4 linked regions of the Saccharomyces cerevisiae S288C genome follow. Changing the gene in region 1 together with any one later gene gives a genetic interaction. Each region holds a gene or a part of one and is shown in the gene's direction. Other genes may lie near its edges. The genes, in order: EGD1, ATG32, POX1 and MFB1.

Evidence for each region.
Region 2: of EGD1 (region 1) and ATG32, changing one suppresses a phenotype caused by changing the other (phenotypic suppression), as found in Saccharomyces cerevisiae (one study listed by BioGRID).
Region 3: mutations in EGD1 (region 1) and POX1 together harm fitness more than expected from each alone (negative genetic interaction), as found in Saccharomyces cerevisiae (2 studies listed by BioGRID).
Region 4: mutations in EGD1 (region 1) and MFB1 together harm fitness more than expected from each alone (negative genetic interaction), as found in Saccharomyces cerevisiae (2 studies listed by BioGRID).

Annotation. Positions count from the first base shown.
Region 1 is NC_001148.4:479,396-486,512, reverse strand, and holds EGD1 (Egd1p), read left to right. Parts: upstream 1-4,611; coding exon 4,612-5,085; downstream 5,086-7,117. Other genes in the region: H(+)-exporting P2-type ATPase PMA2, read right to left, coding at 827-3,670; MET31 (Met31p), read right to left, coding at 5,445-5,978; YPL038W-A (uncharacterized protein), read right to left, coding at 6,140-6,331; YPL039W (uncharacterized protein), read right to left, coding at 6,338-7,117. UniProt on the Saccharomyces cerevisiae protein: Component of the nascent polypeptide-associated complex (NAC), a dynamic component of the ribosomal exit tunnel, protecting the emerging polypeptides from interaction with other cytoplasmic proteins to ensure appropriate nascent protein targeting.
Region 2 is NC_001141.2:69,868-77,966, reverse strand, and holds ATG32 (mitophagy protein ATG32), read left to right. Parts: upstream 1-2,193; coding exon 2,194-3,783; downstream 3,784-8,099. Other genes in the region: pantoate--beta-alanine ligase PAN6, read left to right, coding at 684-1,613; SLN1 (histidine kinase), read left to right, coding at 4,514-8,099. UniProt on the Saccharomyces cerevisiae protein: Mitophagy-specific receptor that recruits the autophagic machinery to mitochondria and regulates selective degradation of mitochondria.
Region 3 is NC_001139.9:104,921-113,543, forward strand, and holds POX1 (acyl-CoA oxidase), read left to right. Parts: upstream 1-3,237; coding exon 3,238-5,484; downstream 5,485-8,623. Other genes in the region: CHC1 (clathrin heavy chain), read right to left, coding at 1-2,584; YGL204C (uncharacterized protein), read right to left, coding at 6,780-7,085; KEX1 (serine-type carboxypeptidase), read right to left, coding at 7,555-8,623.
Region 4 is NC_001136.10:904,955-913,102, reverse strand, and holds MFB1 (Mfb1p), read left to right. Parts: upstream 1-6,250; coding exon 6,251-7,648; downstream 7,649-8,148. Other genes in the region: CRF1 (Crf1p), read right to left, coding at 1-1,004; YDR222W (uncharacterized protein), read right to left, coding at 1,802-3,049; GTB1 (Gtb1p), read right to left, coding at 3,665-5,773; septin SPR28, read left to right, coding at 8,051-8,148.

The DNA of each region.
Region 1 (7,117 bases):
TACCTTGCATCTTGCCACTGATGATAATGACAGTACTTTTTATCCGACGGTATGTTTATCTTGCACCGCTCTCCCTTTTTTGTTATGCCTAAGACATCTCATAATAGATTTAGCTTTGATGAGCACTTTTCTGATATAGTCTTATCTATGATGGGAAACAATTCTTTATTTCTCTTGACATTTGATTTCTTATGGTGTTGGACTTCTCGCGGGAGAGGCGCACATACACGACTACATGATAATAACATTATTAGAAAAATATATCAACATAAAAGAAGAAACTGATATAATACGTGCAATGTGCTTGTATGTAAATAAGTGTGCATTATATGTTTATTAAAAATTAAGAATTAGATTGATTTAATGTTTCGAAAAAAAAAATATTTAGTCATTTCACCATGTTGGATGGGAATTCGTGTGTTGTTATTGGAATGATTCTTCCTTTTTGGAGAGGAAAATAGTCAAAAGAACACGAAATAATATGAAAAAAATTTTCCATATGAATTTGCATCCAATCAAGCAAAAGATCGGCCTACTTCTGATATGTGGATATGTTTGTTTGTGTGTGTGTGTGTGTGTGTGTGTGATAAAATTGACAGATATGATGCCACTTAGTCTAAAAACTTGTGTGTAAACTTTAAAACTGTAACATCATATCGAAGGTATCAAACAGAGCACAATTGAAGAGGCATTAATTTGATTTTTGTTGACCGTGTTCTTTTATAACGTCTTGGCTTCCTTGGTATCGACAAATTGAAATGAAAATGAGGAATAACAAAAAGGAGATCAATAAGAAAAAAAATCAGATGGATGATGTTTAAAATTACTAACTGCTTTTTTCGTGTTGAGTAGAAACTCTTTGCATAGCAGCCATGAAATCTTCGACACTTCTTGTAGACTTCTTTTCCTTTAATGACTTACCATTCATCAACCTATCAAAGGCTTGAGACGTGGACATAATATAGTAAAATCCTCCCAATACACAAAAAATACCAATGGACCAAATCCAGACACGAACGACTGACACAATATCAGTCCAGTTTTCAGACCACCAGCCAAATAAGGTAAACATGGTAGCAATAATATCAACGGCGAAAACGGCACCGGCTAACTGCCACGATGGAATGGAAGACCAGAATGGGCCAGCAGCTCTAGTGACAAAAATTAACCAATTTTCAGTTAGTGAAATCTGCAGGAACATGACACCATTCATGGCACCAAAATTTTGGATAATACCACCATTAGGCAAGAACATGGTGGTTAAAGTAATCCAAGAACCTATAGCTAAAACTATGCCCAAAATAATAGACATACCCCATAATCTTGGTAGGTTCCATTTCACAGGTTCAGGAGCATAAGGAGCATTGTCATAAGCAATAGTTAAAGTGGCAACGTCTGCGAAAATAGCAATAAAAACGATCAAATTGATATCCAAAGAGTTGTTTAAAATAGCAATCCATAAACCCAGGAAAATCTCCAAATGTAAGGATAGGGCAATACGATAAACAACATAGGAGTACATTCTGTGGAAAATCTGTCTAGAAGTCTTTAAGGCATCAATAATAGCAGAGAGACCAGGGGCCAAGAAAACAATATCAGCGGCTGATCTGGCAGCATCGGTAGCACCTTCGACAGCAATACCAGTATCAGCCTTCTTCAAAGATGGGGCATCGTTAACACCATCACCAGTCATAGCAACCAAGTAACCTCTGTTTTGCAAGATTTCAACGACTCTGTATTTATGCTGTGGGAAAACTTCTGCGAAACCATCGGCATTTTCAACAAAATCAGCCAACTCTGAACCAGGCATATCACCTCCACCTCCCAGACCTAACCTTTCTGCGTTATAAATGTTTGTACCAAGTCCTAATTGCCTACACGTTTCTTTCGCGATACCAACAGCGTCACCGGTTAACATCTTGATTCTCAAACCAAGGTTTCTGGCCTCATTGATTGTTTGAGCGGTGTCATCTCTAGGGGGGTCCATACATGGCATAACACCCAAGATTTCCCAGTGACCTTCCCCTCTCTTTCTAGCAACACCTAAAGCACGGAAACCTCTAGAAGCTAGTTCAGCAACCTTATTTTCGTAGTTTTCATGCACATCTTCCGGAATTGGGTGATCTTCTTCAACAGTCTTCAAGACAAACAATGGGGCTCCCTTGACACAAACAATTCTTTCACCTTCTGGGGATTCTACAACAGCGGTAACCTTTTTTGAGACAGGGTCGAACGGATGGAATTCCAAAACTTTGTACTTGGTCAGGGCGTCTTTAGCTTTTGGATACTCAATCAATGACTTCAAAAAAGCCTTATCAATAGCATCCAAACCTTTCTTCTTTCTAGAGGCAGCTAAACAAGCGGTCAACATCAAGTCGTCCGGAGAAACGCCTTCGACAGTGTAGGGTTCGTGTAAAGATAACTTGTTTTTGGTTAAAGTACCAGTCTTGTCAGAACATAAAATCTCAACACCAGCAAGGGATTCAATAGCAGATAACTTTTGAACAATGGCTTGCTTCTTAGCCAAGTAAGCTGCACCGACAGCCATGGTCGTGGTAACAACTGCTGGCAAACCGACTGGGACACCAATGATGGTTATACCCAAAGTATATCTCAAAATGCTTACAATACCGACCGTTCTATAGAAACATGCGGTCCAGACCAACAACAAAGTAGCGATAACTAGAACAAGTAAGATAATACCAATTCCATTCAATACTTCAGTGAAATGGCCCTCTACACCGGAAGCCTGCCCCACTAAGGCGGCAGCCCTACCGACGAAGGTATTGTCACCAGTGGCAGTAACAACCATAAAAGCCTCGCCGGTTTTCACAGTGGATGAGGAGAACACCTCATCACCGTAATGCTTTTCAGCGGCTAAGGATTCACCAGTGATGGCCGATTGATCGATCTGCAAAAAACAGTCTTCAGTGACAATACGACCATCTGCGGGAGCAATTGTGCCACTTTCCAATTGCAAAATCTCACCAGGAACTACCTCATTAGCCGGAATTTCGATCAATTGGCCATCTCTAATAACTGTTGCAGTATTGGCCAACGTCTTTTTCAGCTCGTCTACGATGGAACCTGCCTGGAATTCTTGAATAAATCCGACAGATGCGTTTAATAGCAGTAAAGCACAGATGACACCGACATCAACCCAATCAGACAAACCGGCAGCCAAAATAGCAGCAGCCTCCATAACGAATTGAATAGGCCCTACGAAGAACATCAAAAACTTCACAATCAACGATTCATTCTCCTCAGCCATTTGATTTAACCCATATTTCTTTCTTCTCCTGGCGACTTCATCCGAAGTCAAACCATACGCAGGGTCCGTAGAAAGGTCCTTTTCAGGAACAACCCTTTGGCCAGCGTGCACCCCATCAGTACGTACTTCTTCTTCACCAGATTCATCACCCTCACCGTAGTTAGATTGTAGTTCATCAATCAATTGGTCTATATCTTCATCTGAGTCAGAATCATCAGCGGCAGAAGCGGCTGCGGCCTTCCGTGGAACGGCTGCAGCCGATGACGAGGCGGAAGTTGATGTAGAAGACGAAGATGACGAAGAAGCGGCAGAATTATTTGCAGGGTCATCGCCATCACTGGCATGGAGGTACTCTTTCGAGGGTTTCTCCTTGTATTGCTTTGCTTCAGTGGAAGACATAACGCAAAACAGTTTCCTTTTGCTTAAATTGTACTAGCACACAGCAACGAAAAATGAAAAAAAAAAAGTTATGGGTATGTTTAAAAAAGCCCAGTAGCTTGGATACAGTAGGTTATCCAGCAAGAAATGCTGGAAGAAATAATAGATGGTAAAAGAGGATATTACACACCTTTATATAACGAAGTACCATCACACCGCCAATTACGTTTAGGGGACGCCGACAAGAAGTAAATTCACTATTATGTACTTACAAATATGTTTCCACCGATAACCTTTCCCCCTTCGACGGTTATTTGAGCAGCGTCTGTCCGCCATTTTTCCAGAGAAGCTACTTCATCAATCAATTGACTTCGCAATTCCCTTAAACAAAAAAAATTTCTTTTGCCCTCCCTCGACGATTTTGGAGTAGAGAATACCTTAGGCCTTTTTTTTTCTTTTTTCTCACGGCTGCTCTTCCTCTTTTTCGCATATTCTATTTTATCATCGACTTCCCTAATTCGCACTCGTACCAAAATGTTAAGCAGTATGGCGAAGAACGTGGCGCGCTGGAGTCGTGAATGTTTGGGTCCTTGATGATGGACTACGGTAGTAAGTATGTAGTAGTTGCAACTTCATATGTTCACTTCTGATCCAAGGAAGAGCGGTTATGAATTAATCTCTTGGCATGAGCGGACGGGTAAGGGGACACCGCCTTTTCTTCGATGGGAATCAGGGTAATGGTATATGATGGATTATTGTGGAATCATTTAGTACGGCAGATGTTGAAAAAAAAAGCAGAAAATTTTTGAATTTTTTTCGTTGACATTGGAAGATTTCGTAGTGGAAACAGCTGCAATTGCTTGTTAAGTAGTAACCCCTCCTTTGTCACAAGAGAGCGAATATTCTTTCTAGGGAGGTTTAAGAATAGAACATCTCACACCAGACGCGACTCATAATTCATAATGCCAATTGACCAAGAAAAATTAGCTAAGCTACAAAAGTTGTCTGCTAACAACAAAGTTGGTGGTACTAGAAGAAAGCTTAACAAGAAGGCAGGCTCTTCTGCCGGTGCCAACAAGGATGACACCAAGTTGCAAAGTCAATTAGCTAAGTTGCACGCTGTCACCATTGACAACGTCGCCGAAGCCAACTTTTTCAAGGACGACGGTAAGGTCATGCACTTCAACAAGGTCGGTGTCCAAGTTGCTGCTCAACACAACACTTCTGTATTCTACGGTCTACCACAGGAAAAGAACTTGCAAGATTTGTTCCCAGGTATTATCTCTCAATTGGGCCCTGAAGCCATCCAAGCCTTGTCTCAATTGGCTGCCCAAATGGAAAAGCACGAAGCCAAGGCTCCAGCTGATGCTGAAAAGAAGGATGAAGCTATTCCAGAGTTAGTTGAAGGTCAAACTTTTGATGCTGACGTCGAATAAATAACTTAATCTTTAATTTTAACGTTAAATAAAAAAACACATATTTTGTTCCATTTTTTTTCATTTTTTTTAGCATATCTAAAGCATATAATACAAACACTGTTTTCTGCAAAAAAAAAAAAATAAAAAATAAAATATAAAAAAACAATATACCACACTATGCTGCACACGTGAAATGATGAACTTGTACGTCACCACTTTGTGCGCAAAAAATTGGCAAAAGTAGAGAACATGTCACTAACTGTATCGGAATATTACAACGTTTTTTTATTCTACTTATCTCAATGGCTAAAGTATATATCTATCTATATATGTATGTGTAGGTGTGCTGATGGAGACAAATACGTTTTCCTCTAGCCTTACAACAGGCCGGTACCATTCTTTATCGCATCCTTGATGAGCTCATCTACATCAACGTCTGAACCTTCACTTAGTTTCTTTCTGTTTCTTTGACAGGTCAGTGTGTTAGAATGTCTTTTTAGAGCATCCTTCCTGGCAAACCCTTTGCCACAGTTTGAGCAAATATGCGGCAGCACGAGTGAGTGTACCTTTTCATGTCTTCTCAGATCAGAACTTCTGCTGAATTTCAACTGACATTTCGCACAGCTGTAGAGCTGTGCGCCTTCCTTGCTATGGTTGTTACCTCCTGTTCTTTTTGTTTGTGTTTCTGGAATCCTTATAAGACCTCTAGCCATATTTTCCGGCTCCCCAGCCTTTAAAACATTTTCTGGTGCTGGTATAACTGCGCTCAATGGGCTGGATTGTCGAATTCTGTGGAGTAGCTCTCGTATTATGGGGTCCGTATGAGTGGGACTTGATGAGATTACCGCTATAGCTTCTGCCGCTTGTTTGAGAAATATTTCATCTACATTCATGTCTTGCGCCAGTTTCATATGCACATATAGACTATCGACTGTGTATATTGAGCCCAACTTGTTAATGATCAAATCTCTTTACGTACTGAGGAACGGCTTTTTCTTTTTCTTACCCATGTTATATTTTGCATTAGAACAAAAAAAAAATTGATGGGCTAGCAAAATTTTTAGACTAAAATTTAGAGGCAAGATATGGTTCTGTAAGACTCGAAAAAATTCTCATAATATATACTTGCTTGTGTGAAAGTGTTCTTTTGTTTTGTTTTTTTTTCTTGTGTATAATTATACATGTTTTTTTTGCCTTTTGTACTCAAGAAATCATAAATGGAAATAAAAATGACCCTTGAATGATGAACAAAACGACAAACCATACTTTATTAAACTATCCTAAAAGCTTCTTGTACTAACTTTTTACCCATTTTGTTAAACTCCTGTAATTCTGTCACCAAAACATATCCGTTACTTTGACCCGACCATTCACCAGAGTCACTTACTTGGGTGGGTTCGATCCCACACTCAATTAATGATCTAGAATGCAAACCATTTGGTGTGTCTGGGATAAACGTAGTTTGTCGATATGTATCGGCATCAGCCCCCATGCTATGCGTTTCTTCATGTTCCGACCGCCTATCTTGGCCTTCCCCATCGGAATGGCTATGAAGCGAGTATGCCCTTGTATGTACATGTAGATCATCAGCTGACCTATTGGTAGAGAAAAAAGGTGATGCTGATGAATTGGAGTTCATAAAAGAACTTCTGAGGAAGTACGAATGTTGTTCACGTCGAGATAACATTTGCCTGCGTTGTTGTCTACTCCGCCGAATAAGTACAGGCCTCACAATAGAACAACAATTTATCACTTCTTCCAGTGGCAAGCCTGTTATCTGGGAATAGAGATGATAGGTTTCATCCCTCGTGGTAATCCTGTCGCGGTCATCGCCTACAACATTTGGCACACTTAAGATGAAAGCAGCTACAAATAGTTTGTGTAAGCTGAACTTTAAAAACTTCATGTAGTTAGTTTCCTTCGAGCAGCAATCTAGAAACTTGATGACAATGCAACAGACCTTTTTGAACTGTAAATGCGATGATTTGGCTCTGTGTAGGATTATTTCTAAAAATTTGGTTGTTTTCAAATGATTTGTGCCAATAATTGC
Region 2 (8,099 bases), on another chromosome or scaffold:
CGATTCTACCTCTCCTGTGAATGTATTCCAATTATTTCTACCATTTTTGGTGTTGTTTGTTTATTTTAGGAAATATTAGTTTTGTGACTATATCATTCCATACGTTATCTTTTTTTCTTTTGGCACTTTCAGTATGGGTAACCCTTGAAATGGTATTTTAACCGCTAATCGCAATAGACTGCTTACATCTTTAACAATACTTAACGGGGCTCTCAACCAGCCCATAATCACGATATTATTTCAATGTTCAGTTATAACCATCTGGCACATAGTACGGTGAATTTCTCTTCAATCCTAACATCAGTAATGCTTTTCGGACCTCCAACCGTCTTTCCTTTGCATTCACAGTCTTTCCCTGACAAGAGCCCTGCTACTATTGACCCTACAGAGACCTTCTTGTGGCGAATTGTTGCTCTTTTTACTTTCTTACTGATGTAAGTTAATTAGAAGGAGTGATATCTGTAAGAGTGGAAATTAAGCGCCCATCTTTTTTATAATGTTGGCTGAACAGATATCCGGGTAAATGTTACTTTAACGAGTTTTTTTCTTTTGTCATATTTTCCAACAAGAGATTAATGAACATTTCTCGATGTAGCGTACATATTTATGTGTACAAGAAGTGGTGTGTGTTGATACTGCACTGTTTTATACAAGTTTTTATACTGCATATCCATATAGAATTGATGAAAATCTTCCATACTGTCGAAGAAGTTGTTCAATGGAGAACACAGGAGCTGAGGGAAACTAGATTTAGAGAAACTATTGGGTTCGTTCCCACAATGGGTTGCCTGCATTCGGGTCACGCTAGTTTGATCTCGCAGTCTGTGAAGGAAAACACCTATACTGTGGTCAGTATATTTGTAAATCCCTCCCAGTTTGCGCCAACGGAAGATCTAGATAACTATCCTCGAACTTTGCCAGACGACATCAAATTGCTTGAGTCGTTGAAGGTGGATGTTCTATTTGCTCCTAATGCACACGTGATGTATCCACAGGGAATTCCGCTCGACATAGAAGAGCAGAAAGGCCCTTTTGTTAGTGTTCTTGGATTGAGTGAAAAATTAGAGGGGAAGACGAGACCTAACTTCTTTAGGGGCGTGGCAACTGTCGTGACTAAACTATTCAATATCGTTATGGCGGATGTGGCTTATTTTGGGCAGAAGGACATTCAACAGTTCATTGTTTTACAGTGTATGGTGGACGAACTGTTTGTTAATACAAGGCTACAAATGATGCCTATTGTAAGAAACAATAATGGACTGGCTCTGAGTAGTAGAAACAAATATCTTTGTCCAGAGTCTTTAAAGATCTCTGAAAACCTTTACCGCGGGCTGAAAGCTGCGGAAAATGCTATTAGGAGACTAGCACCAGGGGGACGTCTCTCCAGATCAGAAATCATCGATACTGTGACTCAAATATGGGCACCCTACGTTGATTCCCACGATTTCAAAATCGACTATGTTTCCTTAGCAGATTTTAAGACTCTTGATGAACTCTCCGATGTTGAAAACACCAGCGAACAGCAGCCAATAGTCATTAGTTGTGCTGTATACGTGACTGACCGCGAAAAACCCGATACGGTCGTCAGACTAATAGATAACATCGTTATTTAAACTAGGTGATTGGGCCTTCCCGTGTCTGTGTTGCAGTATATACCACTCTTATACAGTATGCACGATATTCTTTTAAACCAACAACGGGATGATAGATTTCACGCTTGATGACTTTTTTTTTAGACGGCTGAAGGGACGACATCCCCATCGCTCAAAACACAAATATGGAAAGGACAAATCGTCTTTCACAGTTTGCATAGTAAAAGCAAAGTTTATACTACTTCAGCAAAGTTGAAGTTGTTTGGCACTTGTTTCGTGCTTTCTCAAATATCTTAGATCACCGTCTGTCTAGAGCATATATCTATTGTTTGACGCACCCCTTTTACAAAAAAAAAAAAAAGAAACAGATCTATTAAGTAATAAAAAAGTTATTTAGGAAATAAGGTGCAGTAAGCTTCCTGAGGCATAATCATTATACTTTTAAAATCTATATTTTTGGGTTATTGTTGAAATATTTTCTTACAAAGCCCATTTCTCGTTTTTGACAATTTTTCTTATCAGTTGTGACTTCTCTTATCGATAAGCAATATTGAAGTCCTAATCACAAAAGCAAAAAAAATCTGCCAGGAACAGTAAACATATGGTTTTGGAATACCAACAAAGGGAAGGTAAAGGATCCTCATCTAAAAGCATGCCACCTGATTCCTCGTCAACGACTATTCACACATGCTCTGAAGCACAAACTGGGGAAGACAAAGGCTTACTTGACCCTCATCTATCAGTATTGGAATTGTTGAGTAAGACAGGGCATTCGCCTTCGCCAATGGGACAGAACTTGGTTACGTCCATTGACATATCCGGCAACCACAATGTAAACGATAGTATATCAGGATCGTGGCAAGCCATTCAGCCTTTGGACTTGGGCGCTTCTTTCATCCCAGAAAGGTGCTCTTCTCAAACGACTAATGGAAGTATTCTATCATCTAGTGATACTTCTGAAGAAGAACAAGAGCTGCTTCAAGCGCCTGCTGCTGATATAATAAATATTATTAAACAAGGACAAGAAGGAGCAAATGTCGTTTCACCGTCTCATCCCTTTAAACAGTTACAGAAGATAATATCGCTGCCCTTGCCTGGTAAGGAAAAAACTCCTTTTAACGAGCAAGATGATGATGGTGATGAAGATGAGGCTTTTGAGGAAGATAGTGTGACGATAACAAAAAGCTTGACTTCTTCGACAAACTCTTTTGTTATGCCCAAACTATCACTAACACAAAAGAATCCAGTTTTTCGCCTTCTAATACTGGGAAGGACTGGTTCCAGCTTTTATCAATCAATACCAAAAGAATACCAATCTCTTTTTGAATTACCCAAATATCACGATTCCGCAACATTCCCGCAATATACGGGGATTGTCATAATTTTTCAGGAGCTGAGAGAGATGGTATCTCTGCTAAACAGGATCGTTCAATATTCTCAAGGCAAGCCTGTAATACCGATCTGCCAGCCTGGGCAAGTCATCCAAGTGAAAAACGTCCTGAAGTCATTCTTAAGGAATAAACTTGTTAAATTATTGTTTCCTCCAGTTGTTGTGACCAACAAAAGAGATTTGAAAAAAATGTTTCAAAGATTACAAGATTTATCCTTGGAATACGGAGAAGATGTGAATGAGGAAGATAATGATGACGAAGCTATACATACAAAGTCTCGGTCCTATTGTCGTAACAAAAAAGCCGAAAACTCAAAAAAGAAATCCCCTAAATCGAATAAAAAACCCAAGAGAAAGAAGCAGAAGTTCTTCACGAGCTGGTTCACTTGGGGCATTTCAATTACTATAGGAATTAGTTTTGGATGTTGTGTGACATACTTTGTCACTGCAGCATACGAACACCAAACAGTTAAGTCTTTAAGTTTGCGGCCCTCCATATTGGCCTCTTTACTTTCCTTAGATTCCTCTAGCGACACAATCAATACGCCCGCCACTGCATCTCCTTCTTCAACTGAGCAGTTTTTATGGTTTGATAAGGGTACGCTTCAGATAAACTTCCACTCCGATGGATTCATTATGAAAAGTCTTACCATAATCAAGGAGACTTGGGGCAAAATGAATACTTTTGTCTTGCATGCTCTTTCTAAACCTTTAAAATTTTTGGAGAACCTTAATAAAAGCTCTGAATTTTCCATTGATGAATCTAATCGGATTTTGGCACTGGGTTATATTCTATTGTAACCTTTTTCCAATATACACAAACATACACGTTCCTACTCACTTTTTTACTATCACTTCTGTTTCTCTCACTGCGTATCTATATTCCCCGTTTGGTTCCTTTCCTTAATTACATAGAAGCTTATCAAATATGAAAATTCTTTCATTATACAGGCAATTTTTTGTTTGGTTTCATAAATACATAAACAAACAGCTTATAAAATATTTCTTCTGTTAGCAAATTTAAGTTTCTTTATATATTCCTTACTTTCGCGTCTCAACACAAAAAAACAATTAAAAATCAACCATAGCGCATAGAGCGTATTCCGACGACTTCAAGGAAACTATCGCTGTAAATGTGAATGCATTTAGAAGTTACTATTATCGCCTTTGACATCATATTTGAAATATTCTACCTTCATGTACTTAAACGCCCAAATTACCCGATCTTTTTGCGCCGCGCGTTAATATTTCCTCTTCGCATTTTTTAGTGATTATTACTACATAAATTTGGGATTAATAGTTCATCGAAAACAGCACGAACAAAAGCCAACTCACTACATTTTAGCAGATTCCGTCCGGAGTTTTGATTCTGTCCTTGTTTGTTGTTTTCCATTTCCTACTACGAATTCTATAAAGACAGGTAACAGCAGTGGAGAAGATCTTATAGATCTATCATCCAATTATAATAAGCATAGAATTGAAATAAGAACACGTTGGGTATAATCTACTTTGTTTTGATTTAACAATACAAATGCGATTTGGCCTGCCATCAAAATTGGAACTCACTCCTCCGTTTAGGATAGGCATCCGAACTCAACTAACGGCACTAGTTAGTATAGTGGCTTTGGGCTCACTGATTATTCTGGCTGTAACGACAGGGGTCTATTTTACCTCGAACTATAAAAATTTAAGGTCCGATAGACTGTACATTGCCGCTCAGTTAAAGTCATCACAGATTGACCAAACTCTAAACTACTTATATTACCAGGCGTACTATTTGGCATCAAGAGACGCCCTGCAAAGCTCACTAACAAGTTACGTTGCAGGTAACAAGAGTGCAGATAATTGGGTAGATTCCTTGAGTGTGATTCAAAAATTTTTGAGCTCTTCAAACTTGTTTTATGTTGCTAAAGTTTACGATTCTTCATTTAATGCTGTTTTGAACGCTACGAATAATGGAACTGGTGATCTAATTCCAGAAGATGTTTTAGACAGTTTGTTCCCATTATCCACCGATACACCGCTACCTTCTTCACTGGAAACTATAGGTATATTGACGGATCCAGTACTAAATAGCACCGACTATTTGATGTCTATGTCTTTACCTATTTTTGCCAATCCTTCTATTATCTTGACTGATTCAAGGGTTTACGGATACATTACTATAATAATGTCGGCAGAGGGTCTGAAAAGTGTGTTCAACGATACAACTGCTTTAGAACATTCCACAATTGCCATTATTTCTGCAGTATATAATAGTCAAGGCAAAGCTTCAGGGTATCATTTTGTCTTTCCACCGTATGGATCACGATCAGACCTCCCGCAAAAAGTTTTTTCTATAAAAAATGATACATTCATTAGTAGCGCATTTAGAAACGGGAAGGGAGGGTCTTTGAAACAAACCAATATCCTTTCTACACGGAATACTGCTTTAGGCTATTCACCATGTTCGTTTAACCTAGTTAATTGGGTCGCGATAGTTTCACAGCCTGAGTCGGTTTTCCTTTCTCCAGCAACGAAACTAGCAAAAATCATCACCGGCACTGTCATCGCTATTGGTGTCTTTGTCATTTTGTTAACCCTTCCTCTAGCACACTGGGCAGTGCAACCAATTGTACGTCTACAAAAGGCAACTGAATTAATTACAGAGGGGAGAGGCCTTCGACCGAGCACCCCAAGAACGATAAGCAGAGCCAGTTCATTCAAAAGAGGATTTAGTTCTGGATTTGCTGTTCCTTCTTCGTTATTACAATTTAATACTGCTGAAGCTGGCAGCACCACAAGCGTAAGTGGCCATGGAGGCAGTGGCCATGGCAGTGGTGCAGCTTTTTCAGCAAATAGTAGCATGAAAAGCGCTATAAACCTTGGAAATGAGAAAATGTCACCTCCAGAGGAGGAGAACAAAATACCGAATAACCACACCGATGCTAAAATATCAATGGATGGCTCGCTAAATCACGATTTGCTTGGACCACATTCCTTGAGACATAATGACACTGACAGAAGTTCCAATAGATCTCACATTCTCACAACTTCTGCAAATTTAACTGAAGCTAGGCTACCAGATTATAGAAGACTATTTTCTGATGAACTTTCCGATTTAACAGAAACCTTCAATACTATGACAGACGCATTAGACCAACATTATGCTCTTCTAGAAGAAAGAGTTAGGGCGAGGACAAAACAACTCGAAGCTGCCAAGATTGAGGCAGAGGCCGCAAATGAAGCAAAAACCGTCTTTATTGCCAATATTTCGCACGAATTGAGAACGCCTTTAAATGGTATTCTGGGTATGACGGCTATTTCAATGGAAGAAACCGATGTTAACAAAATAAGAAATAGTTTAAAACTCATTTTTAGATCAGGTGAGCTTTTGCTTCATATTCTAACGGAATTGTTAACTTTTTCCAAAAACGTTCTTCAAAGAACGAAACTGGAGAAAAGAGATTTTTGCATTACCGATGTTGCCTTACAAATAAAATCGATATTTGGTAAAGTTGCAAAGGATCAGCGTGTTCGTCTTTCAATATCATTGTTTCCTAATTTGATAAGGACAATGGTTCTTTGGGGTGATTCCAACAGAATTATTCAAATTGTGATGAATCTAGTGTCCAATGCACTAAAGTTCACCCCTGTAGATGGTACCGTTGATGTAAGAATGAAACTGTTGGGTGAATACGACAAAGAATTAAGCGAGAAGAAGCAATACAAAGAAGTGTATATCAAAAAAGGGACAGAAGTAACCGAAAATTTAGAAACTACAGATAAATACGATCTTCCAACTTTATCGAACCATAGGAAAAGTGTCGATTTAGAATCCAGCGCTACTTCCCTAGGAAGTAATAGAGACACTTCGACAATTCAGGAAGAGATAACAAAAAGAAATACTGTTGCGAATGAAAGTATCTATAAGAAAGTGAATGACAGGGAAAAAGCTTCGAATGATGATGTATCTTCTATAGTATCAACAACTACCAGCTCGTATGATAACGCTATCTTCAATAGTCAGTTCAATAAAGCACCTGGCTCAGATGATGAAGAAGGTGGTAACCTAGGAAGACCTATCGAAAACCCCAAAACGTGGGTTATTTCTATTGAAGTGGAAGACACTGGGCCTGGTATTGACCCTTCCTTACAAGAATCTGTATTTCATCCATTTGTTCAAGGTGATCAAACATTGTCCAGGCAATATGGTGGTACTGGCTTAGGTCTATCAATCTGTAGACAGTTAGCAAATATGATGCATGGAACGATGAAATTAGAGTCGAAAGTAGGTGTTGGTAGTAAATTCACTTTTACCTTGCCATTAAATCAAACTAAAGAGATCAGTTTTGCAGATATGGAGTTTCCTTTTGAGGACGAATTTAATCCTGAGAGTAGAAAGAACAGAAGAGTCAAGTTTAGTGTTGCTAAAAGCATCAAGAGCCGACAATCCACATCATCTGTTGCAACACCAGCTACAAATAGAAGTAGCCTAACCAACGACGTGCTACCGGAGGTAAGAAGTAAAGGTAAGCATGAGACGAAAGATGTTGGAAATCCTAACATGGGAAGAGAAGAAAAAAACGACAATGGAGGGCTTGAACAACTGCAGGAAAAAAATATTAAACCTTCTATATGTCTTACAGGTGCTGAAGTTAACGAACAAAATTCCTTGTCTTCTAAGCATCGTTCTCGACATGAAGGTCTAGGTTCTGTCAATCTTGATAGACCATTTTTGCAAAGTACTGGTACAGCCACATCAAGTAGAAACATCCCCACAGTCAAAGACGACGATAAAAATGAAACAAGTGTCAAAATTTTGGTTGTAGAAGATAATCATGTAAATCAGGAAGTTATCAAAAGAATGTTGAACTTGGAGGGCATTGAAAATATTGAACTGGCTTGCGATGGCCAAGAAGCATTCGACAAAGTTAAAGAATTGACATCTAAGGGCGAAAATTATAATATGATTTTCATGGATGTCCAGATGCCTAAAGTGGATGGTTTACTTTCTACCAAGATGATAAGGCGCGATTTAGGTTATACCTCACCTATTGTCGCTCTAACCGCTTTTGCTGACGATAGCAACATTAAAGAATGTTTGGAATCAGGAATGAACGGATTTTTATCGAAAC
Region 3 (8,623 bases), on another chromosome or scaffold:
TTAGTCTATTTCTCTTTTCAACCTCAGTAGTTAATTCATTAATAGGGACTTGACCTAAGACTGATTGTAGCAGACTTTGAATAAATGCCTCATCACAGTCCATATCAAGTAATGCGCCAACAACTTGGGCAGTCTTTGAAGGGTTAACCTGCTGCACGTAAGTTTCAATAAATTTTAAGTTCTGTGATTTGTACAAATATAAAATCATTTCATGAACAAAGTCGAAACGGTCACAAACTATGACTAGAGGCAACTGGTCTTCTAGATTGGCATCCTTCAAGAAATTCTTGACTCTTTCTGGATCATAGACATTGTTATCCTTCACAATTCTTTCAATTTCTCTGTATTGTTTCATTTTAGCAGCAGCTTCAATGTATTTGTAAACCACATCTTTATCTTCGGTTAGGTTGACTAAAGAGGCTAAGTAATAGTATAAACCTTCCGTAGCATTATAATCTTCGAATAATTTAATCAAAGTAGATGGACCGATCAAATCAGAGAATTTAGTTGCCACCTGTACTACGGTCTGGATGTTAGCCTGAATATTGTTATCCATTAAAGCTTTTAAGCACGCCAAAGATTGTTCAACGTTCAACTTACCAAAGTATCCGACTAACCAATCGATAGGTAATGCATTGGTGTGGACAACGCATCTCTTGATATCTTTGATGTCTGTGTAATTTTCTAAAGCTCTCTGGTATAGTCCCGCCTTTTCGGATAAGGAAGCAATAGTTGGTTTGTCATAATGAGAAAAGATGTTGTTTCCCAATATGGCGTCAGCAACTTGTGGTGCGTGTAGTAGATTGACTTCAAGAACACGAGTTTGCAAGTGACCTTGGTCTGGGGTATCTCCTTTTAACGCGTCTAGAAGTAGAGAGGTTCCTTGTTGGATATGGTTTTGGGAAAAGAATAGATCTGCGATTTTTTCTATGTCGATCTGAGAAGCAGTTTCCGGATTTTGTAATAGAGATACGGCAAATTCAGAAGCTCTGTCTGGTGATGATCTAATCAAAGAAGAAATCAGCACTAAAAAGTTAGGTTGATATCCAACCTTTTGGCAGTAAGGAATAATTTTTTCAAACTGTTGTAATTCGGCAAGACAAGATATAACTTTTGCATGGGCACCTGCTCTTAAGTAGCAAGCTAGCGCTAAAGTAGTATCGAAAGGCTTAACGATGTCACCTAGTTCTTCTGAACATTCTAGTTTATCTTCCTTTAACCATTTTTCGAACAATTGTTTTCTGTCTTGTTGTAGAACTGGTCTAGCCAATTCAATTGTTTCCTCTTTATTCAATTTCCCTTTATCCAATAGTGTTGAAAAGTAAAGTAGGATAGGAGAAATGGCGCCTGGTGGTGCTTGAATGTTTTTCAACCTGTTGATGGTGTTTTGGTTCCTTAAAGAAGTGGAAGAGGCTGCAACTTTAGCTGCATTTTGATAATCGTTTTGTAACAATAAAGATTCAAACTGTTTTTGAAATAAATCATCTGCACCTGGTAAGCCACCTCTTGTAGCAACGATTAAGGCCAGTGCCACATTAGATAATTTATTCAAGATATATGGAACGATTTGAGAAGTAGAAATCTCTACTGCTAAAACTTGACCTTTTTTATTGATGCATGCAATACCGTTCTCGTGATTGTACGGAGCTGCAGTAAAAACAGATTCTGCTGTAATTCTATTAACGAATAAATTGGTACCGGTTTCCAATTCGTACAAATGGATGAAGCCATACTTGGTTAATAGGTAAATTATGCCGTATTTCTCAGACACCTGAACAGCGATTGGGAAATCATTCGTTGCATCTGGTGGAAAGAAAATATCGGTAGTTTCCTTTTGATATTGAGAAGGCAATGAAGCATCGTGATCAATCTCGATAATTCTTAATTCTCCAGCACCGGTGGTGGCATTTCTGTTACCAGTAACGAAAACTTGTACCGGGGTCGAGCCATTACCCTCTAGTAATATATTCGTAAAGATAGCAACATGACCGTCGATAGCTTGGGAGATGTTACGTTGTTTTGAGAATAATTGAATTCTACCGGCAATACGGCCATTTTCTTGTAAGATACCAACAACTGCGAACCAGTCAAGGTTTTTGTTAGCCACAAAATTGATAATTTGGGTATTGTTCAAGTTAGCGTGTCTCAAGGTAAGCAATTGAGGCTTAGCATTTACGTTACCATCAAAGACGTTCGAGGTCAGTATGGATCTTGCGGTAACAAAACCCAAAGTGGTTTCACTCAACCACCTCCAAAAAATAACAGGTTCATCTAAAGTAAAAGACTTTAACTTGCTCTTAGTTTCCAAATTAAATATCTGCACGATAGTACCATTTGCTCTAACGGAAATAACCATCTGAGATGGATGCATGATAGCAGAATCACCGCCCATATTCTTCCTTGTCACTTCATTGCCTTTGGCCAAATCCACGATTGCAACAGAGTTTGTACCGTCCTTTGTTTCTCTAACAGTGACGAAGTGGTCACTCTCGAAAGTAGTTGATCTGAAGTCAAGGAATTGAGGGGAAATTCCTAAGGACATCAGATCGACCAATTCGGTAAATTCAATGGGTAGGTCACTCATTGGTTAGAACTTTCGTGATAATTTATTTTTATAGTTGAATATCTTCTTTCTCTCTCAACTCTGATCCGGATTGTCGAGGTTTCAATAAGTTACTCTGAACAACTAATCAAAATATCTCCTTATTTCTGTAGATTCCTTCAGTTCCACTTTTTACTTTTCTTAATTCTCTTTGTATTTATTCCTAGCGACGAAAAATGCGAGATCTCGACCAAAAAAAGGGGGTAGGGTAATAAAATTAACCCTATTATTTTTTAACTTTAAAACCTATAATGTGCTAATATTTTATTATAAACCTCCTTTTTTTGCGTTCAAACCCTGACACATTTTAAGCCCTATATTTACGGTATTAGTTGATTAAACTCCGAAGCGAAAGGAATTCGGTCATTAGCGGCTAATAGCCGTTGGGGTAAATCACCTACAAGCAAGTACACAAGAGAACGTTGGCGTTGTTAAGTCAAAGCACTAATACATTGGGGCTTTAAGAGTGTTTATAAAGGTCTAACCTGTAAAAATTATTTAAACAACTTGAACAGGCCTTAAAGTTTTCCTCATTCCGCTCATCATCACTAATATTGCTCTCCGTTTTTGAATACACACTTGACACTAATAAGTATCACAGAAAAAAAGAAAATATAATAAATTAGTATTGCGATATGACGAGACGTACTACTATTAATCCCGATTCGGTGGTTCTGAATCCTCAAAAATTTATCCAGAAAGAAAGGGCGGATTCGAAAATCAAAGTTGACCAAGTTAACACATTTTTAGAGTCATCCCCGGAGAGGAGAACTCTGACGCACGCCTTAATAGACCAAATAGTGAATGATCCTATATTGAAAACTGATACGGACTATTACGATGCTAAAAAAATGCAAGAGAGAGAAATTACTGCCAAAAAAATAGCTAGGCTTGCTAGTTATATGGAGCACGATATCAAAACAGTGCGCAAACACTTTCGCGACACTGACCTGATGAAAGAGTTGCAAGCAAATGATCCAGACAAAGCTTCGCCTTTAACAAACAAAGACCTTTTTATATTCGATAAGAGATTGTCACTTGTAGCAAATATTGATCCTCAATTGGGTACGCGCGTGGGTGTACACTTGGGGCTATTTGGTAATTGTATCAAGGGCAATGGTACTGATGAGCAAATCCGGTATTGGTTGCAGGAGAGAGGTGCCACTTTGATGAAAGGTATATATGGCTGTTTTGCAATGACTGAGTTAGGACATGGTTCCAATGTTGCCCAGCTGCAGACTAGGGCTGTGTACGATAAGCAAAATGATACTTTTGTAATTGATACACCTGATCTAACTGCCACCAAATGGTGGATTGGTGGGGCTGCCCATTCTGCCACGCACGCTGCCGTGTACGCCAGATTGATCGTTGAAGGTAAAGACTACGGTGTAAAAACATTCGTTGTTCCTCTGAGAGACCCTTCGACTTTCCAACTGTTAGCTGGTGTTTCCATAGGGGATATTGGAGCGAAGATGGGTCGTGACGGTATTGATAATGGCTGGATCCAGTTCAGAAACGTAGTTATCCCTAGAGAATTTATGCTAAGTAGATTTACCAAAGTTGTCCGTTCTCCAGATGGTTCAGTCACCGTCAAAACTGAGCCACAATTGGATCAAATTTCTGGTTATAGTGCATTGTTAAGTGGTAGAGTTAACATGGTCATGGATTCATTTAGGTTTGGCTCCAAATTTGCTACTATTGCTGTACGTTACGCGGTTGGTCGTCAGCAATTCGCACCTAGAAAGGGATTGTCTGAAACACAATTAATCGACTATCCCCTTCACCAATATCGTGTTTTACCACAATTGTGTGTTCCATATTTGGTGTCACCTGTAGCTTTTAAGTTAATGGACAACTATTATTCCACTTTGGACGAGTTATACAACGCTTCCTCATCTGCATACAAAGCTGCTCTGGTTACCGTGAGTAAAAAGTTGAAGAATTTATTTATTGATAGCGCCAGCTTGAAAGCCACCAATACTTGGTTAATTGCTACACTGATTGATGAGTTGAGACAGACTTGCGGAGGACATGGGTATTCACAGTATAACGGATTTGGTAAAGGCTATGACGACTGGGTGGTTCAGTGCACATGGGAGGGTGATAATAATGTTTTATCTTTAACTTCAGCAAAATCAATATTGAAAAAATTTATCGATTCAGCCACAAAGGGTAGATTTGACAACACACTGGATGTGGACTCATTCTCTTACTTAAAACCTCAGTACATAGGATCTGTGGTTTCTGGAGAAATAAAGAGTGGTTTAAAGGAGTTGGGTGATTATACTGAAATTTGGTCTATCACCTTAATCAAATTACTGGCACATATTGGTACTTTAGTTGAAAAATCAAGAAGTATTGATAGCGTTTCTAAGCTTTTAGTCTTAGTATCCAAATTTCATGCCTTGCGCTGCATGTTGAAAACCTATTACGACAAGTTAAACTCTCGTGATTCACATATTTCCGATGAAATTACAAAGGAATCTATGTGGAATGTTTATAAGTTATTTTCCTTGTATTTTATTGACAAGCATTCCGGAGAATTCCAACAATTCAAGATCTTCACTCCTGATCAGATCTCTAAAGTTGTGCAGCCACAACTATTGGCTCTTTTGCCAATTGTGAGGAAAGACTGTATAGGTCTGACAGACTCCTTTGAATTACCTGACGCGATGTTAAATTCTCCTATAGGTTACTTTGATGGCGATATCTATCACAATTACTTCAATGAAGTTTGCCGCAATAATCCAGTGGAGGCAGATGGGGCAGGGAAGCCTTCTTATCATGCGCTGTTGAGCAGCATGCTCGGTAGAGGTTTCGAATTTGACCAAAAGTTAGGTGGTGCAGCTAATGCGGAAATTTTATCGAAAATAAACAAGTGAGTAGAGGTTTCCTGTTTTCCTTCGAACCCTCTGTTTTGCGACTTTTGTTTCAATTCAACTAGTGTCGCCAAGTTTTAACAAAAAGTTACAAAATCCTAGTGAGAGGCCATCTTATGTGCATAACGGTACTCTCTATCTATTTACATATCTAATACTATTCACATAACTATGACGAATCAATGACATGACTACATTTACCAATGTATAGTAGTAAAAAAATTGCCATCTCCTAGAATCGAACCAGGGTTTCATCGGCCACAACGATGTGTACTAACCACTATACTAAGATGGCAGGTAATTATTGAGTGTTTACTCAATATCTCAGAATTATATACATAACAAATAATAAATGTGCTGTGTTGGCACTTGTTGGAATGAAGCTCTAAAACATCATGATGATTGTGTGGATTCTGATGTAATTGTTGGGATTCCATTTTTAATAAGGCAATATGTTGGAACGAGAGTAATTAATAGTGACATGAGTTGCTATGGTAACAATCTAATGCTTACATCGTATATTAATGTACACATCGTATACGTTTAAGTGTGATTGCGCCTATTGCAGAAGGAATGTTAAACGAGAAGCTCAGACAATACTGAAGCTGTGTTAAAGACCTATTAGCTGAACATGATATGGTAGGTACATATATGAGGAATATGAGTCGTCACATCAATGTATAGTAACTACCGGAATCACTATTATATTGGTCATGATTAATATGACCAATCGGCGTGTGTTTTATATACCTCTCTTATTTAGTATAAGAAGATCAGTACTCACTTCTTCATTAATACTAATTTTTAACCTCTAATTATCAACACAATAATATTAGGTATGTAGATATACTAGAAGTTCTCCTCCAGGATTTAGGAATCCATAAAAGGGAGTCTGCAATTCTACACAATTCTATAAATATTATCATCATCGTTTTATATGTTAATATTCATTGATCCTATTACATTATCAATCCTTGCGTTTCAGCTTCCACTAATTTAGATGACTATTTCTCATCATTTGCGTCATCTTCTAACACCGAATATCATAATATACTAGTAACGTAAATACTAGTTAGTAGATGATAGTTGATTTTTATTCCAACAGTTTATCAACTAGTAGTCACACTACCAATATATTATCATATACGGTGTTAGAAGATGACATAAGGTATGAGAAGCTTTCATCGAAGGTAGAGGAAGCAGAAATACAAGGATTTATAATGTAATAGGGTAATGGAACATATAAGGGAGGAGAAATGATGGTGATATTAATATGCAGAAATATCGATTCCATTTTTTCAAAAAAATAGTGCCAAACTATTAAGAAGTAGCGAAACAGCAAAGGCATATTTCCACATTTCGCTTTTAGCAATATACATAACTATGGTGGCAAGATACCATGCAACTAATAACTTTGCCGCAATGACACCTCTATTTCTACTTGTTGTCGTTTTACCTCTTACTTGTTTGAACATTGCTGTTCTAAGACCTAACAATAATAGTCCTAATACAAACAGAGGGCATGCTGTTATAAGTATAAAATGTTTGCTGTAACTAATGGTGGGGGAAGATTGCAAAAAACGAAGGATATCAGTTCCATTCATTTCCAGGGATTTGTGTTGATATGTGGGGCTATGAATGCGTTGAAGTTTTCAACTTCTGTGAAGGAGTTAAAACAACCACTAAACAATCTCGTTCAAAAGCTCTAATTACTTGTATATTATTTTATACGTTTATGTCTATTTCAATGCAATTACGTGAAAAATAAAAGAACGCTACCATAAAAATGTTAAAAACTGGTTAAAAATGTCAAAAAATGGTCCGAAAACTGAAAAAATATTCGTGATACAGTTTGCATAAAAAAAAACTATTGTGCGCGATTAATATAACCTACTAGACTTAAATGACGACACTTTAATATGAAGTTCAGTAGTGTGAATTAAATAAAACAGTCAGTTCTTGATGGATTGTACCCTTTAAAGAATTTATCTTTATGTCGCTGTTACTACGAAAAGCGTGTGCGAGGTATTATAACTATTTTTCTGTATTTTTTATATATTTTTATTTGCCAAGTTAAAAATCAGTCATCTCAAAAGATTCATCGATTTCAGTGTTCGGAAGGCTAGTATACTTCTTCTTTTTCTTAGTTTTCAATTTAGATCCTGCTTTGTTAGAAGTGCTACTTATGGGTGCTCCGCCTTCTAACTGCTCATCTTGTTCTAAATCATCTTCTGCCCCGAGTCCGCTTTCCAGATCATCTGCCCATGAAACTGTCTTATTGGGACTGTCATGTTGTCTATTATTTGGATCAACTAAAATTGTGTGACGCGCTTTTCTCCTCACTCTTCTATCATACGCATAAACTCCTAAAACCACTATCAAAAATGTAACGATGGTAACTACTACCGCTTTGTGTTTATACATTGAAATCTCTTCTGCAAATTCTTCTACCTCTTCCTCTTCTTGTTCATATTCTGAAGATTTATGTCTACTATCCTCGAGGCCTTGATTACTTTGTTTTTCATTATTATCGTCTTCATCATCGTCATCGTCATCATCGTCGTCGCCCTCGGAGTTGTGATCGTCTTCATCGTCGTCATCATTGTCGTTATCATCATCGCCATCTTTATCTTTATTGCCTTCTTTTTCCTTTCCTTCCTCATTCTGCGCTTCCTGTTCTTCCTCTTCGAGGTTTTCTTTTGGCTTATCACCGCTTTCAGTAGTAGCATCTTGATCACTATCGTCGTCAGTAGTAATCATAACATTTTTCCCATTGTTGTCAATGATCATAACATCGTTCGAGTAAATATCGACAATGCCTCTACTCACTAAACTTTTATCGAAGGGTACCATGTGAGAAGCATTATAAACGCTAACAAACGTCAAATTTCTATCATACTTCACGTATCCGCTAAATTCTTCGCTGTCGTCTGTACTCTTCGATTTATGGATCCAATCGAACGAAACAGCATCGTCGCTAAATCCCTTTATTCCACCCCATTTTAGATTGTCTATAGTATCTAATACGCCCTTGTTATTACAAATCAAGTCTTTGTCACCATTGAACAAGACAATCTCTATTCCACTTTCAAGTAGACCAGGTAATAAATGGATAGATGGCTTTGAAATAGGATTAGACAAT
Region 4 (8,148 bases), on another chromosome or scaffold:
TAATCACTATCATAACTATCATTCCTTGGGCCTTCCGAAGAACATGTGAGGTTGGATAAGTCTTCTCTTGAACTATTATAGAGGCAATCAATATCCTTTTTCCTTGTATTAATAGCGACGTTGTCTAGACTAAAGGTGCGATCAGGTCCATCGAGCTCTACTTCGTCGATTTTATGCACATGCTCGTTGAGATGAAAAAAGCTAGACACATCTAATGTAGAAAAATGATTGCATTCACTGAAATGACCATCATCCAAGTTAAGGGGCGTACGGTCCTCAAAACAACTGCTACTATATTTTTTTTCGAGTGGTCTTGGATTTTTCACTCCCTTATCCGTACCATCCATTGGTGTCAATATCACGGCCTCATCAAAGTCGACATCTGATTCCGTTTCTGGATATTGGTGTGTAATACCTCTATTATTATTTATCGATACTGTTTCGCAACTATCGATGTGGTTGTCTACTAAAATATCAACACCAATGTCCTCTTCATCTTCATTAGTTGTTGAAGCCGAAGGACTGTGGTATTGTCGGTGAGATTCACTTTTACTTGTTGGCAAACCGAGCAGTACTACAGCCGAATTCGCCCCGAAGTTTACATCGCGCTTATTACTGACATATGTAGTATTGCCAGCTGACGTGAGCTGGTCATTAAATATATTATCTGCTTCTGTCTTAGAGCTGCTGCCAAGAGACGTCTTTTCCTCTACCTCGTTGGTGTTTTCCTCCCTAGAATATTTATAAGAATTTTTTTTTTTCTGTCTATTACTACTTTCTGGTTTTAATCGTTTAGCACTAATATAGCTACTCTCAAAATCCGAGGCCTTACTTATAGAGGGGTCCCAAAGAGCATCAAAGCTGCCATCATTATTGGATGAAAGGACGACAGTTGAAGAGGACGACGAAAAGGAAGCAGCTGTACCTGTCTCTTTTGGCTTTTTTTTATTTGGACTGTGTGGCTTGCGCCGCACGGTACTGTTAACAGGCGCACTAAGCAACATTTTAAAAGACTTTTTTATTCCGTACTATACCGCTGCTGTTCAGTTAAATGGTAACCTTCTTATAACTTTCTAGTGACCGCAATAATTATATTCCTTCTTTTAAGAAATTTCTCGATACAATTATAGAGGGCTTTTGACTCATTAATCTTACTGGAACCATTGACAGATTAGTCCGAAGAAGAAAACTCTAAAAAATCCGCTAGTAAGATTCAACAAAAAAAAAGTCTGCTTGCTATGAAAGTCTGATTTCTAGAGTACACACCTCTATAGCTACACTCTCAACTGATTGCTTCACTTTTTGAAAGAGGAAGAAGGACAAGAACTGGATTCACAAACTCAACTACATCTCGGTTTATCCGTTTAGACCAAGGTTTTATATAAGGCGAGGTAGAGTTCGGAAAAGGAAACTTTCATCGACTTCCCTTAATGATTATTGATTCCCCTTTGCTTTCTCTCCCCAACATTTGAAATATGATTTCTTTTTATTTCGAAAATGCCATTCTTCTCGTTCCCGTGATGTTTTCAATATGCATGCGGCAAGGGGAACATGATATTTCCGTTCTATGGCTTACGCAAGTAAGAAGCATGGCGCAATGATGCAATAGTCCATGGGGGAAAGTGTGGCCTCAAAATGAAAAAAAAAAGTGATGATAAATTAGTTATTAGGTAGTGATTATGTAAAAAAATTCGATTACACATTAATTATTAGGTAAAGTTGGTAGAAGAAACAGGAGAGAAAAAGAAGAGAAAAAAAAGGACAAAAAACGAATTTCATGTGGAAGTGTTCACGCTTTTGTTCAACTAATGAAGGTGCTCTCAACGATAGAAATACCTTTCTCGTGCTTATATTTAGAAGGTTGACAGTATTGATAAATGAAAGGTTTGATGCTCACAATTTTCTGAGCTAACGACCTGACCATGCTTGGTAACTCACCGAGAACGTCGTATCGATTAACCAGCCTCAAGTCGTGTTCTGAAAATCCACCGGGGAACTTGATAGAGGTTGGATATACCCAGCCGCTTTCCTTATCTGTACTCGTAGCACGGAACCTAACATGACGTTTTGGGCTCTGCACAGAAGAACCAATAGATATCAGTTTGTTTTTTTCAGTAATTGACCAAACTGTTACGGTGACGTTATCATGATCTCGAGGAGTAGTGAATTCAATTGCTAAAACAGAGTAGTTTTCGCTCTGAAAACATAGGAAATTCCATTTACTGGCTGCTTTATTCGGCAAAAGACCTTGAACAGCGTCCAGATAAACGACAGGAACATCAGTTAATGAAATATTTTTATTTTGAAAGTCCCCACTATTGAGTTTTTTATCGTAGGAAATATTACCATTACATTTACCTCTGGGCACAAAAACATGTCTGATCATTTTGTCTGAGGAAACGAATTCGTCACTCATCGAGATTTGTTTGTCAAAATAATAATTGCAACCGTTGGGGTTCATCTTAAAACCTTGAAACAAATCCACCAACAAATCGATTTTCAAATTTTGAATTGTATTGTTACATGTTGGTAAATCACATTTGATAGATAACTGGCCAATGGAACCTAATTTTTCATTTTTGTTGCTCAAAAATTCAAAAATAACATTTCTAGAGACAAACTTTAATGGTTGAAATTCAGCTATGTCATCCAATTTAAAACTTTCCCAAACGTCGTAGTCAGTATTATTACTTTCTGAGCCAAAAACCTTGAAATTCAATTGGAAGCCTTTATAGATACCACCCATAACCGTAGAATACAGTAATTGAACAAATCCACACAAGCCTGTATGCAAATCTGTGAAATATAACGTTTGGGTCTCGACTCTGGTCTCCATCGATTTTTTCATCACTCTGAATAAACCTCTACCACCATCTGTCTTGTTACTTATGGTGTGTTGGTAGCCCGTTTCACTATCATTGTGACAATACCACTCCAATGGTTGGATGTCATTAATAAGAGTATAGTTCTTACTCTTACTTACCGGTTTTTTGTAATCTACCTCTTTAATAGGCGCAAACTTTATCTTATCACTGCTCGATTCAAGCATCACTAAATGAGTCTCTATGTATGTACGATGTATCTTATACGCCCTCACTGTCAAGAAAAGACAATACGAAGTACGGCGGCAATTGTCACTCAAGAAATTTCTTCATTTTTATATGACTATACATCGTAAACTCAAGCCCAGAGAAGTGAGTCTCCAGTAAACACTGTTCGTTATATCCATCACATTTAAAATCCGTAGGCTTAAGATTGCCAAAACATATGCATACAAATTCCAGTAGTAAACATGATTTTGGAATTCACTGTAATAATCTGTGAGACATCTTGGAAACCGGAAGAACAAAGATGAGAAAAAAAAAAAAAAAAAAATAAAAGCCGCATAAACATCGGCTAGACGGAAAAATTAGCATTACGTCTATGACTTAGTTCTCCGAAAAAAATACAAGCCGTGTGGGGTGATTACGCCGTACCCTTCTTTTCGCGTTATTCCAACAGGTCGTACAGAACTATCAGTATTTGGAACGATATACTTATTTATCGTCTTTTCGCGTTTTGGCCGAGGGAAATATTGCTTTTGTTGCGGAAAAGAGTATCACGGCACAGCATCGGCCTTCCTAGTTGTTTACTTACTAAAAAAGCCTAACTACTCATTTTCCAGTCATTCACTTAAATTGAACTTAGGGGGCTCGTATTCGAAAGTCTTGTTGCAGCCTAGAGGACCAACGACATCGAAGATGTAGTTGCACTTAGTCGCTTCATGTACACTCCGAATCTTGAATTTGTCGCTGCACCGAACAAATACAGTAGCCGATCTGCGCGGACCATTCCAGCACTGGTCTCCATTTTCGTATTCTAGTACCAGACCATTATTCAGTTCGTTTAAGTTCCCGAATACGTAATGTTGCATGTTACCGTCATCGTCCTGTATAGCTGCTAAGTTTGAAATCAAATCACTCTTCTCATCATATGTGGCCTTTAAATGTTCTGCGTATTTTTCCATGTTTAAGTCAACATTAAAACCTGATGTCTTAAAACGACCGATCAAAACTTTTTTACCGTCAACCTTATCCTCAGCTTGATATATGACACCTTCGGTCATTGGACGTTGAAAGCATATAGTGTACACATAGTTGTCCAGTATGTCGTCAAGACAATAGGATTGTGATCCCATTAGTTCTAAAAGCTCAGTCAGATTTCCTGCAGTAGAATTAGTTCCTTCATCTTCAGTTTCATCTAATAATTTCTTATAGTCCATTTTTTGCTTTAATTCATTCTCCAGGAGACTGACTTGACTTTCACAAGAGCGGAATCTCTTCTCTAATGAGACCAAATCTTTTCTAGATGAAAAAATATTCAGCTTAGATAGAATCTCTTTGAGTTTATTGCGCAAATCTCCAGAAGTACCGATATGATCGCTGTTCGTATCTTGTTCTGACTCAACAGCGTCTGGTGGCAATACCTTTGGTGCATTCTCGTTCACAAATGATGTTACTTCGCTCAACGATCTCAAAAGGCTCTCTGACGGGTGAGCTGGTTCTAATTCAGCCAGTTCGCCGTATTCACCTAGGTAGTTTTTATACGAATCGACAGCACTTTTGACCCCTGCATCTTGAAAGTTAACATTGTAATTCTGAGAAATATCATCCATAATCAAACGGAATTCTCTGATATACTCCAAGATATCGTTGGTATAGTTAATTTTACCCTCCACTAGCGCTTGAACAAAATTGGATTTTCCTATGACGTACCTCAACGTGTTCTCAGATTCTCTTTTCAAAAAAATTTGAGGTACTTCTTCTGTAAAGTACAAGTAAAGATTATCTGCCTGCTCATCATCAATTTTGCTATCTGCATTAATTTTAGCCTTTTCAGCCCGTCTTCTAACTTTTCTGAATTTTTTAATATTATCATTGACAACTTTATCATTTAGCGAGGGAGTATAGGCCTCTGATAAATCACTTAAAATCTTGAATATGTCCTGGTAACCTTTACTTACTCTTGAAACCATAGTGAACGATGTAAGGATGTCCGATCCCAAACGAGTACTGTTTAATTGTTCAAATTGATACAAAATGGGATCATGGCTTAATTGGTTAAAGTACTCGCCTCTCAACTGCTCTAATTTGGCTCGATTTTCTGAGAGCCTGTTGGAGAGTACTTTTATCTCGGCAGAAGCTTTTTCCTTATCTTCTTCTAAGCAATTACCACGGGTGATAGCCTCTTCCTTTGTACCGTATTTTCTTTCCAGTTCTTCTAGGGCCTCTTTACCTTCCCGGTAACTTGATAACTCTTTAGAGGCCATAATGTCAAATTCGTTTTTTAACTGAGAACAATTAGATCCAGCATCAAAGAGCTCATATCCAGAAAGTAGCTCGTCAGAACAGTCACAGCAGTCACAAATACCATCTGCGACTTCCGATTTTCGTATATATCTTGGAATAAACCCCTTGTTATCACAATAAAAATACTTATTCACTTTACCACCTCCCTCTGCAACGCTTTTGAATATATCTTCCACGCAGGCGGCGCTGCCGGGCTCATCTGAACCATCAGGACAATCACAAACCCCATCATTAATCTGGCTTATATCCAATACGATATCTTCGTGGTTCAAACAGTGCCATTTAGTCAAATCTGGTTCATTCGAGTCATACAAGTGCTGCTTTTCCCAGGGAACACCCACTATATGCCGTTGACTTTGTTGCAATGACGCTACAAGCGGCGATTGCTCAATTAATAGCAGAAATAATGAGAACATGCTCACCATAGCGAATCTTCTTAATGAAATAGCAGAAGTGCCTTTATGCTTCTTAAATGCAGTGCGGAAGCCTCTGCTTCTACCATAACATCTTCCAACACAGTCTTCATACACTATTATTATTCATTTTATGGCCGGGTAAGTATTTTAAAAGGCATTGGCAATACCCGTTTTGTTTTGACCCAAACAACTGTTTATCATTATTCCTGGTGCTGTCTTCTTAGAAACTATAAACGCTTGTGCACCTACCCAGTATTTAACCAGTTGGGAGGAGATAACAATATTTACTTACTTTTTCACAAAATAGGAAAAGGAAAGTTATACTTTGCTATAGTTTAAACAAAGGGAAAGTTTTCAAATAACCAAGGAGTCTCTGTTACTACTTGCTAAATATCCTCATACAAAATATCAAAACAAATTGGCCAAACTGCACAAGGAAAGTTCACTTTTGTTCCAGAATTAGTTATAGTTCCTTCAACCACATAGATGACATTATTTTCTTGTAGTGTACAGATGCCGCTGGAGGAAAGGTCCCTGACAAACTTACCATTAAACCTATTGTTCCGAATATTGTCTCACCTGGATATGAATGATTTACAAAACATAGGGAAAACTTGCACCTTGCTAAGGATGCTGGCGAATGAGAACATTGTTTACAGAAATGCTGTTATCGGCTCAAACGGGAATATGTGGTGGACAAAAAATGTTCTTGTTGATGTCTTTGATGTTTTGAATTTTAATAGAAAGGCAATGAAAACCTTAAATAGTCACAACATATCCCTGGTCGCATCATTAAGAAATGTTCAGCGGAAATATAAACTAGGCGTTATTGATCCGGCTAGAAAGACAATAAGTTATAGAACAAATGAAGTTGAGAGCAAAGAAAAGGGCTCTGTGAAAGATTTAAATATGGATTTGAACGAACCTACAGAAATAACAAGGGAGCAAATCGCTCATACTGCAATACTACAAGGAATGAATCAATTCATCGAACTCAATGATAAAGCATTTAGGACCCATTCAGCGGATTCTGATGATACATACATAGAGGAGAATAATGGAGAAATACATTCTCTCCACGGATTGGAAAAAAATACAACATTTGAAGAAGACTTAGTCAAAAAGCCACCTTTTATCCCTTCTCCGACATTTTCTAATTATTCTAGAAGTTCAACAAATTCTGTATTTTCAAGTTCATCGCCCAAACTACTGGACGATGATTGGAATAATATTACAATGGATTTCACTAAGTCACGAGATCCTGATTATAAAGAGATGACGCCTACATCTACTGAATCGTCTGACTCAATCACAAGATTGAGAAAATCTAATAAAGTCAAGGATAAAGCCGAACTTTTTGAGAAGTTAATTTTTAGAGATAGCAGACCATTAAAAACAAAGAAAAAGGACAATCCAAGATTGAAATTATCCAGTTCGTTAAGTGCTAATGACGAAGATTTTAGGAAAATCATAAGTCCCCCTTCTGACATACTACCGAAAGTTGGCAGAAGGAGCGTCTCAAGAGGTTATTTAGAGGAGATTGAAAGGCATTATCCCGATTTTAACGGTGAAACAACTAATCCTCTAGCAATTAAAAGAGTCAACAGTACAAAGATAGCAAATTATGAACAATTAATTATAAAAGAAAATAGCTCGAACTGTAAAGGAATAACAGAGAAAAATGATGAAAATAAATTTCAAAGAAGTCACACTTCCCCAGTAATAGAATTATCCAAACCTCATCAAAGAAGCAAATTAAAGGCGGTTGTTACAGACGGTAATAAGATATGCTATCGCAAAATCGAATTGGATAACCCTAGTGGGTCGAATACGAATGATCATGTAATCAAACGGCTTGACGCTAATACCGATTTTAATATATAACAGAAAACGCCTCAAACCGACTTTGCTTGGAAGAGTTTTCTCTGAATTAGCAACGGAACTTCGAAATGGTTTTAGACAAGCATGCATGGTATGTAGAAACAGTTAAAGAGCGCCGCTACCATTTGCACAGATGTACATATAAATAAATGACTTATTTTTTATATTCTATCAATAATAAGACAATTTGTGGTTGCCTTTAGAAATTTCGTGGCTTTTTTTCATATATTCTAACTTCAATAAAGTTTTTTTGATGCGAAATTTGATCGCTCATATTAAGGACGCCTGAAAAAGACATGCGTCTACATTTTGTGTCATTCCCATAAGAATAGTAAGAACAGGCATTTTTATAAATCGATACAAAAAAAGAGCTACTATACGTACATAAAGTCAGTAAATAATCAAATGTTCCCAATGAAAGATCACTCAGCTCTTGAACAACATACTCTCAGCAGAGATGAGTTAAGACGTCGCAAGGGTTACAAGAAAGGACTGCAGTTGTC